Macaca fascicularis: one gene and its partner. The protein of the gene in region 1 interacts with the protein of each later gene in a pairwise test. Links are inferred from orthologs where the notes say so. Each region holds a gene or a part of one and is shown in the gene's direction. Other genes may lie near its edges.

The links. The genes of interacting proteins can lie anywhere in the genome.
Region 2: the proteins of MBIP (region 1) and EXOC8 interact in binary tests that used the Homo sapiens proteins (3 or more experiments, as listed by UniProt). The two-hybrid records come from large-scale screens. The link is inferred for Macaca fascicularis from reciprocal best matches to the Homo sapiens genes MBIP and EXOC8.

The regions. Positions count from the first base shown.
Region 1 is NC_088381.1:104,148,311-104,156,103, reverse strand, and holds part of MBIP (MAP3K12-binding inhibitory protein 1), read left to right. Parts: intron 1-3,221; coding exon 3,222-3,341; intron 3,342-5,122; coding exon 5,123-5,347; intron 5,348-5,426; coding exon 5,427-5,523; intron 5,524-7,793. UniProt on the Homo sapiens protein: Inhibits the MAP3K12 activity to induce the activation of the JNK/SAPK pathway. Component of the ATAC complex, a complex with histone acetyltransferase activity on histones H3 and H4.
Region 2 is NC_088375.1:17,751,647-17,758,608, forward strand, and holds the start of EXOC8 (exocyst complex component 8), read left to right. Parts: upstream 1-1,964; 5' UTR 1,965-2,077; coding exon 2,078-4,255; 3' UTR 4,256-6,962. Other genes in the region: DNA-dependent metalloprotease SPRTN, read right to left, coding at 1-46, 1,213-1,433. UniProt on the Homo sapiens protein: Component of the exocyst complex involved in the docking of exocytic vesicles with fusion sites on the plasma membrane.

The DNA.
Region 1 (7,793 bases):
GGAGTAATTTGTTCTTATGAGTTACTTGGTTTTGTTTATTTCTTTTTTCCTTGGGGCTGTTTTGGGCATCTATAACCCTTTCAAATGGGGAGGAAAGTAAAAGGAATTCGTTTAAAATACTTCTAGCGTAAAGTTGGATGAGTTATCCATCGTTGATGCTGTTTGCGTTTAGAACTGTCGTTATTTAACTATTAACTAGTTTAACTGACTGATAAATCGCTTTTGCAGAAATGCCATAGTAAAATTGGTTTTGAATTTAGTGGGCTTCTTCGATCAAGTCACTGTTTCGTTTCACGGTGTAAAATTAAAAGCAAGTTTTAAATGAGAAACAATTTAAAAGTACGCTTGTTTACCTGCCTTTTAAAAGGAAATGTTTTCTATCTTACATAGACCATTTTCTAGCCGTAAAAGTTTGTTTTGAGGCTGGCACTAGCGCATGTGGACACGGCAGGCATTTGTGTCAAAGATAATGGTAAATTCTTATGAAAATAGAACATTTGTCTGATTTGTGAAAATTATTTTTAAAGCCTTGAGTAGATGGAGAATCAGCTTTTTAAAAAGTTACTATTTTAAAAAATCATAGTGTGTTGTGTCTTACAAAGAACATTACTGTAAGTTAAACGGTTTTATGTAATGACGCAATTATTAATGGAGTCTGCTTAAAGATACAACTTTTAAATTCAGTTGTTTGCCAAGTGCTTACCGAAATCGTTTTTTAAAGGCTTGGGGTGTTTTGTTATATATTCCAGTCTTAAGACCCAAGACCTTTTAAATGGTTTAAAAGTTAGAGAACTTTTTATGGCGACGTTGGAACTTAAGTTTGTTTATTTTCTAATGTCAAGATGAAAAAAGTTTATGCTCACCTATTAACAGAAGATGGAATATTTTTAAAAAATACTGAGCAATGATTTAAACGTTTCTTTTGAAACATTTAGCATACTGAATTTTTCAAACTCATTAGAAAATTTTAAACATTCAAGTACTCTACAAGTAAAGAAGCGATTACAATTTATTTGTGTCACCTGTCAAAAATGTTGACAGTAAATATTTGGTTACTTTACCATGACACAGTGAAGGGACCTCCTATACAGGTGTCAAAAATATGATTGTTTCATCAGTTAAATGCAAACTGTTTTCATAATACTCTATATTTTGAGAAGTATTAAGAGTGAAAGCCAGAGTTCCACACTTGCAAAATTGCCCCCAGAGAAATCAGTATTTTCTTTTGCAACCACTTTAAAAGATTTCTAGAAGGTATGTTGTAACATGCCTAACTTCATCCTGTGTCATCCCTAAGTATCATTGTATTATTAGATCTCAGTAGGAAACATAAAACTGAATGTTAAAAAGAATTTTTTACTTAAGATCACAAAATTTACTAATTTTAACCTTTTTGCTTGCCTCTGGATGGTCCATCTTACCAAGCTAAACACTTACTTATTTTTAGCTTGGATTTTTGTATTAATTTAGTAAAGTGTTTACTGAAAATATTTATTTAAATAGTCTATATTAATAGCAGACTAATAGAGATTTTCGAGTGAATGGTTTACTCTTCCAAGTTCTGTAGGGCAAAATGCATAGAATTCATATTACTAATAATGAATTTGTTGAATGAATAGTTAGGTGTATTAGAATAGTTTTAAATTAATTTGTGACATTATTATGTGAGTTTCTTAAAAGACCAGTTATTCTTAATTGCACTTGAAGCTTATGTAATTCTGCTGAATTGAAATGACACTATGAACGAAACATTAAGACTTATTTTTCTATAAGTTATTTTCTCTAGAAAATGTGATACTTTGCTTTGGTTGAGGATTTGCCTGCTTTATCCCCAAGCTGTATTCTTAAGTTTTCTGTGATCAACTGTAGATCTCTTTGAAGACTATGAAAGTACAATAATAGGTTACTTCCATACATAATACAGGTTGTTGTCTAACAAAATCTTTATAGGAATTAAAATAATGTAAATGAATGCATTCACTTTAACGTAAAATCTTAACATATTATAATCTTTGCCAGTGCAGCCTACATGAAATTTCATGTATCTTTACGCTTGTCTAATATGGACTTCTAAATGCTTCTGTTCTCATCTTCATTTCTGTCACAAAGTATTCAATATATTATCTTTTTATTGGTAACCTTACATCTTTTTGATCTTTGTACAGTGATTCATCTTTTTTATTATAATTATGACTAATAAAATCTGTATTTGAACTCATGTAACACCTTTATTTTGTAGAAAAGATGACTCATTTTGAATAAATTATGTTAAGTTGATTCCACTATGAAGTGTATTCTTATACTATGCTATAAACACATGTCCCTAGAAAAGTTTGTGATGGTTCACTTTTATTTACTCAAAAGACTGCAGATGGGCGCTCTCATTGTAAACTTTTCACTCATTTTGATGATAATCTTATATTCAGGTTGTTGGTAGTTTTCTGGGTATGATTTTATTCTATTAGATCACCAACTGATAGAAATTTCCATATAATGAGCACTGATATCTTAGCATTTAGCAAAAGATCTGGACATTTCATCCAGTCTGGCAACTTATGTCACTATAGTGGAGAAGTCTTTGTTTTTCAGCTTCAGACTTCTGTAGCTAAATAATAGTTTTTCATTTGAAATAAACATGTTGCCATTTATCCCTACACTTTATATGTATGAATAATCTTGACTTTTAAATTAGTTTAAAAATTGGTTAAAAGTTAAAAAACTAAAAATGTGATTTGGAGGACATCAGAATAATGATATATTTCTGATATGTATTTGTGTACATAAAGAGAAAGATGCATGTTAAAACTTTCACAAAACAGTTGTACTTCCTCTGTTTAAGGCTCTGAGCTAGAAGTAGTAGGATTCTGAATAGGGCAGGCCTATATTGGACTCCATCCAAAGGTTTGTAGATATTGAAGTATCAAAAGAGCCTTCATCTTTTCATCTTTCATGAATGGTTTTTACCTCTAAAATGGTCGCATTACACAGACCCAAGAATAGAATTTGAATGACATGTCATGTTGTTTTTGTTTTTTATGAAAATCTGTAGCTTTTTTGGCCTCTTAAAATGGAACTGCGTAGAGCATTTCAGTGTATTATTAAAAACTTGATAACTTAGAGCAAAATAGACCCGTTACTCTAGAAATCTTATTTTTGTGACAATTCATATGTACAGCTTAATTGTGTAATTTTTGTGATGTTGCTGGTTTGCCCCTTTGAAGCTTAACCTCAGAGATGATGTGGTGAAAATTACAATCGATTGGAACAAGCTCCAGAGCCTCTCGGCATTCCAGCCTGCATTGCTCTTTAGTGCACTTGAACAACACATTTTATATTTACAGGTAAATTTCTTGCTAAAATGATAACCCGATATTGAAAATAGACATTAATTGTGGTTAAATTAGTTGGAGTATTTGACAGTTCTAAACACTATATTAATAGTGTTGCTAACAAAAGGTTATTTACATCCAGATTTAATCTAAATCTGTTAATTTCAGTAGTGATCAGGACAGTTAAGGGAATATAGCCCAAAAGACCAATGTGGGTATGAGAGTGAATGAATGCAATTCTATTCAATTCTAGACCTGCACTGAAAATTCAATACAGTTCCATCTATGGTGGGTTATAATTAAGCAATAAGACACGGCAGGTGTGTGTCATGCTATGATAATGATTCCATGCCTTGGGTGAGTTTGGAGGCTCATGGAGTGCTTTCAGTGGTTCAAGAAGGGGCATTATCCCAGCATGACACATCCTGGAGTGTCTATTGCAATTAAACAGTTTCAGCATAGTTTTTAAAAAGAAAGTAATTTCTGTGACATTAATGTCTCATCTTTGTAAGTAGCCAGTCACTATTTTATCATTTCTTTTCCTTAACAGTTTGAAATAATTCATTCTTTATATTAGAAGTTAATATTGAATCTGTATTTATAATAATGTTGTTATATTTTAAAATATTTCATGTTAATAACTGAACAGTATTATGACCTTGCTGGTTTCTAATTGAACATCTTTGCAATTATAATTGATGTAAGTTTGCAGTTTATCTCTAATCAAAGTGTAAAATGTGAAGTGTCAAAAAGACAAGTGGAAAAACTGTTTGGATTGGTCAGTTTACTGTGATTAAGGTGTTACAAGGTTTCAAAAGAGTAGTATAGCAAACAATGGAAGCAAAATTGTGGGTATGAAAAAAATAATTGGAACATTATCAGTGTTAGTGTGTTTTGACTAATGGAATAGGCATTAATTTTCAGCCCTCCATTCATTGACTTTGTGGGAAATTTTAACTGTTCCATGTTAAAAGTAATAGTTAACCCTGTTTTAAAGGGCAGAGCAGTGAGCTGTAGAACTCAAATGAGGCCTAATTGTGGGGAGCGGGGGAGGGGAACAGTAAATGGGTAATATAGTTTATAGTCTACAACAGGGGTTTTCCCCTGTAGTATAGTGATAGGCCTCTGCCTGTTTTCAGCTATAGATCTTTTTTTTTTTTCTTGTTCATTTTCTTTTTTAAAATTTAATTTTATGACCCAAGAAGAGATCTTGCCATGTCAGGAAATGTCTGAGTGTTCACTCAACCTAACACCTATATATTTCATGTCTATCTTCCTCATTCACATTGGCCAACTGCAGTTTCAAGTGGAGAATCTCCAGTGATATAGTGATAATGCAGGGCTTTGCTGAGTGAGAGCACTGGCTCTCATGTTAAGGAGGAAAAATACTAAGCCTTAGTGTTCTGAGGAGGCATTTGAATGACATGTTAATTAAGTGGCATTGGTGCCAGAGGCTGAAGGCTTTGATTTGGCACAAAATAAAAGATGAGTGACAGAATGATTCTCTCAAAGAAAATTTTAAATTTCCTTAGGTTTTCTTTTCTTTTTTCTTTTCTTTTTTCCTCTCTCCTTTTTTAAAACTAATTTATAGCAAATGATAATGGTTACAATAGCAGAGAATAGTAAATACTTACATGTGGTCAGATCTATGTGTCTTGGTATACCAACTTTTTATATTTATTAACTGATATTAAGTATTTCATTTACTTTGCAGAAATTTATGTAAATATATTAAATGTGTAATTAATTTTGGTCAGTTTGAACCTCAGCAGATGGAATTGTGTTGTTCTCAGCCTTTTTTAGCAAAACTTCAGTCTCCAATTAAAGAGGAGAATACAACTGCTGTTGAAGAGATAGGAAAAACAGAAATGGGGAACAAAAATGAAGCAAATGACAAATTTTCCATTGGTGACCTACAAGAGGAAGAAAAACACAAAGAAAGTGATTTAGGAGATGTGAAAAAGACACAGATCCATTTTGATCCAGAAGTAGTTCAGATAAAGGCTGGAAAAGCAGAAGTAAGTTTTTCTGGCGGGGGTGAGAGGGTATTATTTTTAAAAATCTTATGTTTACACTGTTAAAACTTGTTGTTTGTAGATTGACAGACGAATATCTGCATTTATTGAAAGAAAGCAAGCTGAAATCAATGAAAACAACGTCAGGGAATTTTGCAATGTTATTGATTGTAATCAAGGTAACTACCTAGAAATTAATTTTCATAGGGTTTTAAGCACAATTTTTATAGTTGCTCTAATCTTTTATTTATTTTTTAAATGAATAGCTTTAAGAACACAATTCAAGTTATTTCACAGGTTTAGTTAGTAACTAAGATAGTAGAGTTTCCTTCTGCTTAATAATAGACTATATTGCAAACTGGTTTTCATTTTGGTTACACAAAGTAAATGCTAACATTAAAAGTGTTTATCACTGGCGAAGATTATTTTAAAGTTCCTTTAGGAAATGAATGTGAGGTATGAGTGACAAGGTTGATCTATCCCACTAGTAAAAGGAACTGAGCTCTATGAGTTTCAAACCTATACATGTACTGTGAAATCATGATGTTAATACATAAGTGAACTTAAAGTTAATATTCCTCCAGAGGGAGCAGTTTTCTCACTACTCCTGAGCTGTTTGAAATGTCCTATGTCACAATACAACCAATTTATCATGAAGACTATGGTGTCTTGCTTTTTTCCTTTCTGCCATAGTGCATACGTTTGTTGTTTTTCATCAGATTCTCCTTTACCTCTCTACTTGATGCTATAGTACATTTACAAATCTGCAGTTATGCTGCAGAATACAAAATATTGCAAAGCAGTGCCATAGATCATACTCAGGCACCATAGTAATAATCAGAACAACTAGTTCTTAGGAAAAATTATGGAGAAGAATTCATAATTGGGATGAACATGTTTCTTGTTGCCTCTAATATCTCATGACTAATTATTATGAACATAGAATTGTCAGATGAACCTAAAACTGACTCATATCACATTGGTACACTGATTCTCTTAATAATGAAATAATATAGGCTGGTATTGGATCCTGAATTTAGCTGTGTGCTACTATTAACATTACACATGTGCATCTCTAAATTTGGTATATTTTCCTATTAGCTTTTCAGAACAGGTGCAACAATGGCAAAATCTCAGGTACTACAACCAGCTATAAGCGACTATGAGAAAGGGTTTGTTGCGAGAGCAAGCACATGTGTCACTAATGTTATTCCTCTGTTCTCCCTGCTAACTCTATTATTATAAACCACCAGGGGATAGAAATTGACAAGAATTGAAATGCTCAGCAGGATTCCTTGGCCCATTCAATTCCTTGCTGGCTCAAAACAGTGCTAGAAAGAATTGCTGTGGAGAGTGACTAGCACTCATATACTCACACCATGCTGAATTTCTCACTGATGGGTCAGTTAATCTATATGTTTGGAATATAGTTCTGGAATGGATGATAGCTTCTTTTTTTAACCCTTAGCCCCATTAAATGGTAGGAAGAGAATGGAGAAAGGATGGCCTTTTAAGCATATTTTGAGGTGCCTCCAAAAAAAAAAAAAAAAAAGGAAAGATGACTGTTTAGTCTCTGGATATAAAAGCTAAGTGGATTTGGAATTTTATGCATACTATTTGATTTATCAACAGAACTACTAAGGAAAGTTCAACTGAAAAAATATAAATGCATTTTAATATGTTAGTGTGTTCCTTTTTATTAAAAGGGATTTTAATAGTACAAATCTAACTATAAGCAGTGGAATTTTTAAAAATCAAATTTCATGGTGGGGGAAGGAATTTTTTTTTTAAGAATCTCATTTACCAGCCATTTTTTACAAAATATTCAAGGGAATTTTACAGGAGACTTACTGCCAATGTGTGGCTTTTAAGCATTGTTTCAAACACAAGTATATATTATTACTATGTAGTATCATATGTTAATATATAACAATTATGTTAATATATTAGTTGTATTATATGTTAACATCTTTCCAATTTTCCCCCTTTGTAATTTATGCATTGATATCTAATTTGAAAGAAACTATACTTTTCAGCTTGGAAAAAAATAGGAACAAATTTTCACAACAGACCTTTCCTAAATTTAAACTTTTTTGAAAGTGGTAGGATGAGAAGAAGTAGATGACTTTTGTGATGACAGATTTCTAAAATGAGCACTGGAAATCTAGGTAGAGTGGAAATGTGTGTGTACTTGAGGTTTTGAGGTCATCTTTATGTGGAGTTCTGAAATAAAAATGTGTTAAATACATAATTCTTTTTGTTGGGTGTTCACTAATTTGGCATTAAAATAAAACATGCTGAATTAAAAGAATTCTAGTAAAAATGATGAGTTCTAGTTCTACGATGAAGTAGAATTTAAATACTCTACAGTAGATTATTTTCTCCAGAGGCCCGAATAGTGACATTGGTTTTCAAAATTGTATCAATTTGTGCCACTTAATGTTGATGG
Region 2 (6,962 bases), on another chromosome or scaffold:
GGAACACATTCCACCCTTCCCTTCATAGCTGCATATCCCAGCACACCTAGAAAACAATCACCATAAAAATGTGTTACATTGACCAAATACGCCCAAGTCCTTACACATTCTTGGGCAGTGCACACTAAGAGAACTCATTTGGCAGATGGCTTTCTTGAGAGTATACCCCCTTGGTTAGCAGATACTTGCATTTCACCCAATTAATTAGTTACAGCCCCCGGGGGCGCCTCCCGCGATGGCTCCCCGGCCAGGCGAGGAAGGAAAGCAGCGCCCTCTCACCACCCTGCTTGAGAAGGTGGAAGGCTGCAGGCACCTGATAGAGACGCCAGGACAGTACCTGGTGTACAACGGGGACCTAGTGGAATACGATGCGGACCACATGGCCCAACTGCAGCTTCCCTTGCCCTAGCTAGGCTGCAACAGCTCGAAGGCAATCCCATTCTGCTACTCCCAGTCTCCTTACGACAAATCACAGTTTGGTGTTATTAACAAGCAGGTATCTCCAATAGTGTATCTCCAAAATGATAACAGACGCCTGTATAAAGGAGATTGGTACTTTAAACACAATTTAATATGATATCTTAATTTGTTTGTAGGTTGTTTTCTGTCAACTCAAAAACAAGCATGCTGGTGGTATACAACTGTATCTTAAACTTCACCCTATTCACGTGCAGGAGTAGATTATTATTTCAAATAAGGATTTCTCAAATTTAGCATGTAGAAAAAGAATCGTTTTAAAAGCATCACTGAAGATCCCCACTGCAACACACGAGCTCACTAAAGTGGGTTCCTAACGGGAAAGAGAGGAGGGGAACGCACATCCTTTGGAGGTTACTCTGCGTCCTCAGCACTTTCTTAGGGGCAGATTTGGTTGCTTTTCCCTTCAGGGTCCTACAGCACTATCATAAGGCAAATCAGGAACTTGTTATTTTCAAGTTTAGTGAGATTCAAACACAAATCTCTTTTCTCGTTATGGCCCTGAGTCCAACCGTGGCGGTGGGGTCTACACAGCTTTCTTATTTTTCGAGTGGGAGAAAAGGTAAGAAAAAGAGAAATACGCCAAGGCAGGAATTGCCAGGTCCAAAACCAGACTCCCCCCTCATTTAATGCCCCCTGGGACCGTCGGACCAGAGAAAGGAGAGAAGACCAGGATCGGGGGCTGCAGGAGAACTGCCAGTCCCGCCTCTTTCCCCAGCGGGGCTCGGAACTCACAGGGTCATTCGCACGCTCCACTTCACCTCGACGGCCTCCAGCTGGCCCCAGAAGAACTGGTCGTTAAACTGAACAAACAGGGCCTGCAAGTCCGGTGTGGGGTCCACCAACTCCCACGACGCGTCCACTAGCGACAGGGACTCCTGGGCCTGATCGCGCTCCGCCTCCTGCAAGTTCCACTCCTCCTGAAGCCGCAGGGCCAACATCAGGTCATCGTCCATCGTTGCCAGGATCACAGGCGGGATCCGCCGGTGTCAGGCTGGCTCCGAGTTAGGCTGCGACCCCAAGCCGCCTAGCGGAGGACCAGGACTAGCTCCTAGGAGATACCGGCTCTCGAGACGGCCAGTCAATCCCGCGAGAGTTCGCGGAAACTCGCTTAAGAAAGAGAACGTGAACGAGAACGGCGCTTACCCCAAACGCCGAAGCCAAGATTCTAGGGCTTTAAAACAAGCAGTCAGCACGACACCTCCTAGTGGGCGCAGAACCTGGGCTCACAGGGCACCGGCCCTACGAAGCTTTCAGGAAGCTAGTTCCAGCCTTTACTCTTTGCCGGTTATTTCAAACCTCAACGTCACGCTCGGTTCATGCGCAGTACCCAAATTGCTCTCGGCCTCTCCACTCACTTCCGCACTAGCTCCTCCGGCGCATGCGCCTTAACTGATGGCATTCCTGCGCAGGCGCAATGTCTGCGCCTGGCCCCTTGCGCAGGCGCAGTGTCTGACGCTCAGACCCGGCGCAGGCGCACTCGTCTTGTTCCAATTCCTGCTTCCTCAGCCCAGGAGCTCGGCGGGTCTTGGGTGGGTGTAGACAGCCGCGGCGGCTGCGGCGCCGATAGTGACAGTGATTGCGTGAGACCCGGACGGAAATGGCGATGGCGATGTCGGACAGTGGGGCGAGCCGCCTGCGTCGGCAGCTGGAGTCAGGGGGTTTTGAGGCGCGGCTGTACGTGAAGCAGCTCTCGCAGCAGTCGGATGGGGACCGGGACCTCCAGGAGCACCGGCAGCGCATCCAGGCGCTGGCGGAGGAGACGGCGCAGAACCTGAAGCGCAACGTCTACCAGAACTACCGGCAGTTCATAGAGACGGCCCGTGAGATCTCCTACCTGGAGAGCGAGATGTACCAGCTCAGCCACCTGCTGACGGAGCAGAAGAGCAGCCTGGAGAGCATCCCGCTTACGTTGCTGCCTGCCGCAGCTGCCGCCGGAGCCGCTGCCGCGTCTGGCGGGGAGGAGGGAGTCGGTGGGGCGGGGGGCCGAGACCACCTCCGAGGCCAGGCCGGTTTTTTCTCCACCCCCGGTGGCGCCTCCCGCGACGGCTCCGGTCCAGGCGAGGAAGGAAAGCAGCGCACTCTCACCACCCTGCTTGAGAAGGTGGAAGGCTGCAGGCATTTGCTGGAGACGCCGGGACAGTACCTGGTGTACAACGGGGACCTAGTGGAATACGATGCCGACCACATGGCCCAACTGCAGCGGGTGCACGGCTTTCTCATGAACGATTGTTTGTTGGTGGCTACCTGGCTGCCGCAGCGGCGGGGCATGTATCGCTACAACGCTCTCTATTCCCTAGATGGTTTGGCCGTAGTCAATGTCAAGGACAACCCGCCCATGAAGGACATGTTCAAGCTGCTTATGTTCCCCGAGAGCCGTATTTTCCAGGCCGAAAATGCTAAAATCAAACGAGAGTGGCTGGAAGTGCTGGAGGAGACCAAGAGAGCCCTCAGTGAGAAAAGGCGAAGGGAGCAGGAGGAGGCAGCGGCCCCTCGAGGGCCACCCCAAGTGACTTCCAAGGCCACTAACCCATTTGAGGATGACGAAGAAGAAGAGCCAGCTGTTCCTGAAGTAGAGGAAGAGAACGTGGACCTCTCCATGGAATGGATCCAGGAGTTACCTGAAGACCTGGATGTCTGCATTGCGCAGAGGGACTTTGAAGGAGCTGTTGACCTGCTGGATAAATTGAACCATTACCTGGAAGATAAGCCTAGCCCACCTCCTGTAAAAGAACTAAGGGCCAAAGTGGAGGAGCGAGTTCGACAGCTCACTGAGGTGCTGGTTTTCGAACTCTCCCCAGATCGTTCCCTGAGAGGTGGTCCCAAGGCTACTCGCAGAGCAGTTTCGCAACTGATCCGGCTGGGCCAGTGCACGAAGGCCTGTGAGCTATTTTTGAGAAACAGGGCAGCCGCTGTTCATACAGCAATTCGTCAGCTTCGCATTGAAGGCGCCACTTTACTCTATATTCATAAGCTGTGCCATGTCTTCTTTACCAGCCTTCTTGAGACTGCAAGAGAATTTGAGATTGATTTTGCAGGCACTGACAGCGGCTGCTACTCCGCCTTTGTGGTCTGGGCAAGATCAGCCATGGGCATGTTCGTGGATGCTTTCAGCAAGCAGGTGTTTGATAGTAAGGAGAGCCTCTCAACAGCAGCTGAGTGTGTAAAAGTGGCTAAGGAGCATTGCCAGCAACTGGGTGATATCGGACTGGACCTCACCTTCATCATCCATGCCCTTCTGGTGAAAGACATCCAAGGGGCCTTGCACAGTTACAAAGAAATCATCATTGAAGCCACTAAACATCGCAACTCTGAAGAGATGTGGAGAAGGATGAACTTGATGACGCCAGAAGCCCTGGGGAAGCTCAAAGAAGAGATGAAAAGCTGTGGGGTAAGTAACTTTGAGCAGTACACAGGGGATGACTGCTGGGTGAACCTAAGTTACACAGTGGTTGCTTTCACCAAACAGACCATGGGCTTCTTGGAAGAGGCTCTGAAGCTGTATTTCCCAGAGCTGCACATGGTACTTTTGGAGAGCCTGGTGGAAATCATTTTGGTTGCTGTTCAGCATGTGGATTATAGTCTTCGATGTGAGCAGGATCCAGAGAAGAAAGCTTTTATCAGACAGAATGCATCCTTTTTATATGAAACAGTCCTCCCTGTGGTGGAGAAAAGGTTTGAAGAAGGTGTGGGGAAACCTGCCAAGCAACTCCAAGATCTGAGGAATGCATCTAGACTTATTCGTGTGAATCCTGAAAGTACAACATCAGTGGTCTAATGCTTGGGTCTGTTTATATGTATGTATATATAGAGAGAGAGCGCTTATATATTATTTATATTTATATTAAGTTGTATTAGCATACTCTTTATAGTTTCAAACACAACTTGAAAATTAAAAGTGCCCTCTTAGAATACAAAAATCAAAAAGAGGAAAAGAAGTTAAATTAAGCCCAAATAACAAAAATACTGGAATTATTAAAACATATAGTATGCTAGCTATCCTTTTAAATTATGCTGATTCTCTTCTGAAATTATGGTCACACTATACACTATAGCATTTCAGTTTTATCCTTTGATAAAACACTTTTTGGTTTTTTTTTTTTTTTTTTTTTGAGACAGGGTCTCACCCTGTTGCCCAGGCTGGAGTACAGTGGCAACGTCACAACTAAATGCAGCCTTGACCTCCCAGGCCCAGGCAATCCTCTCACCTCAGCCTCCCATGTAGCTGGAACCACAGGCTGGCACCACCATACCCAGCTAATTTTTGTATTTTTTGTAGAGATGGGGTTTTACCATGTTGCCCAGGCTAGTGTTTTCTTTCTTCTTTTTTTTTTCCGCACAGTATATATTATACAGCAGAGTAATAATATCTATAAACATAGAGTTTATGTTGTGAAAATTTTCCCAGTTCACTAAAAGGTTTCCTAAAGGGTACAGTGCAGTATAAAACACCCTGCCTCATTTATTTCTCCTCAAAACGTTGGACTATTTGGGAAAAAGAAAAGCGTTGGGAAAATTGGTTTTAGGGTAAGTTTTAGTCAAAAGAGTTCTTTCTTGAAACTAGCTGGTGTGTGGATTCAGATACTCTGATCCTTACAGAATCCAAGAGGAAGCTTTCATAAAAACAATTCAGCAACTATTTCTAATATTATTTGAATGGCTAATTTTCAGTTGCTAATTAGCAGCTTTGTAATACTTGATTCAGGAGCGTTTACTTGGAAATCCTAAGGACTATAATAAAATTTTTCAACATATTTCTAAATTGCGTGAGTTTCCAACTGTAGCTTTTGCCTTTGTCACATTTTAAAAAATAATAATAGGCAGGACACATTGGGGACTCTGGCAGCAGTTGCCAGGTTTTAGCTGCCACTGCTTCAGTTTAAGATACAGCTGTCCCATCCTCCCCCATTCAGGGTAGGATATATAGTGGCCTAGATGTCATGCAAATGGAAAAAAAGTTTTAACTGAAATATTTATTTAGATTTCAGGGTCTAGATGGATGGGAAATTAGAAAAACATATGCAAATCTCAGTGTTCTCACTATGACTACTCTGAGCAGAGATTCGGTTTTGTTTCTTTTTGTACCAAAGTGAAAACAGGTGAGACAATGTGCCCAAAACAAAGGGAAGATGAGAACCTTCTGTGACTTCTAAAATGTTCCATGCTGCATTTTTCTTGTTTCATTTTTTTAAACATGAATATAATGCTTCAAATTGTTTAGTAAAACAAAATCAGAAATGTGAGCTTCCCAAGGTTTCTAAACTATCGCTTCTATTGTATGTTCTATAACATTCCTTATACTTTGAGAGAAACTATGCTTGCTGTGATCCATTTTGTCTCTAGCTTCTAGTTGTGATTCTTGTCCATAAGCACCAAATTTGATGCCCATGATTTCAAAAGGTCATTTCTTTTATCTAAATGAAAATGGTGGTACTAAGACTGTGAAAATTATGTGAAACCTAAAATAGTTGCCAAAATGGCTCAGGGTTGTAAAATTCATTGACTTAATTATTCATGTGCCAGATCAACCCCTTTATTTTCGCTTTAGCTATGCATATTTAAAATATTGGAAAGTATCAGATTTACAGATTTTCTTTTGACTACGTTTTTTCACATAACTTTAGGATTTTCGAAAGTTATAACCATAACTGGATATCTTAGCTGAGCAAAGGCAGTTATAATTTGTCTTTTTAAGATCACTGGAAATTGTTAAAATTTTGTGGTAATTATGATTATTCTGTGCCATTTACAGTTTCTAATACTATACTGTATGAAATATGTATAAATATATGATGCTGGGTCTGTGAAATGATACTTCTGAAATCAAAATTCCTCATAAGGCATGAAGTTGTAAAAACTTAAATGTGTATAGTTAGATATTTAAATGGTTGCTTCTTCATAGAATTGTCTGCTTTTTGAAACTGGAAGTACAGGATTTTCTTCAGGTAAAATCTGTGTGTTCCAATTACAGTTGTAGCTGAAGGAAGTATGCTTTTGGTAAGTCAATTAGTGTGGTAAGTTGACAAAAGACTCCCAGTGTTGTACCCAGACAGAACAATTATGTTACATTCCTCTAAGTGGAGTGGGCTTTGTTCTCTAATTATTTTGTTTTATTAAACTCAAAGACAAGTTCTAAAAATTGAATGCAATGAGAGATTGTCCAGAAATATAACATATACTAAAATATACCACTTAAGCATTGATTGACTCTTCTTGTTTACTTCAAGAATATAAAACTTGTCACTTGAGCTTGGAATCATGGGCTTGACTGAATTAATTACTCTTGGGAAAAAAGGCACCTTGTGGCATTAAGTCTCGTTTTGATTAAAGCCTCATTTCACATAATTGCTAAAAACTCACTTTTGTTTAATATACTACCTATAGTTTAATTATCAGCACTTGTATTTTGTAACTTGATATCTTACCTAGGATTGGGAATTTGGGACATGACATGTACTATAAAAGTCAGTCTATGTACATATTGC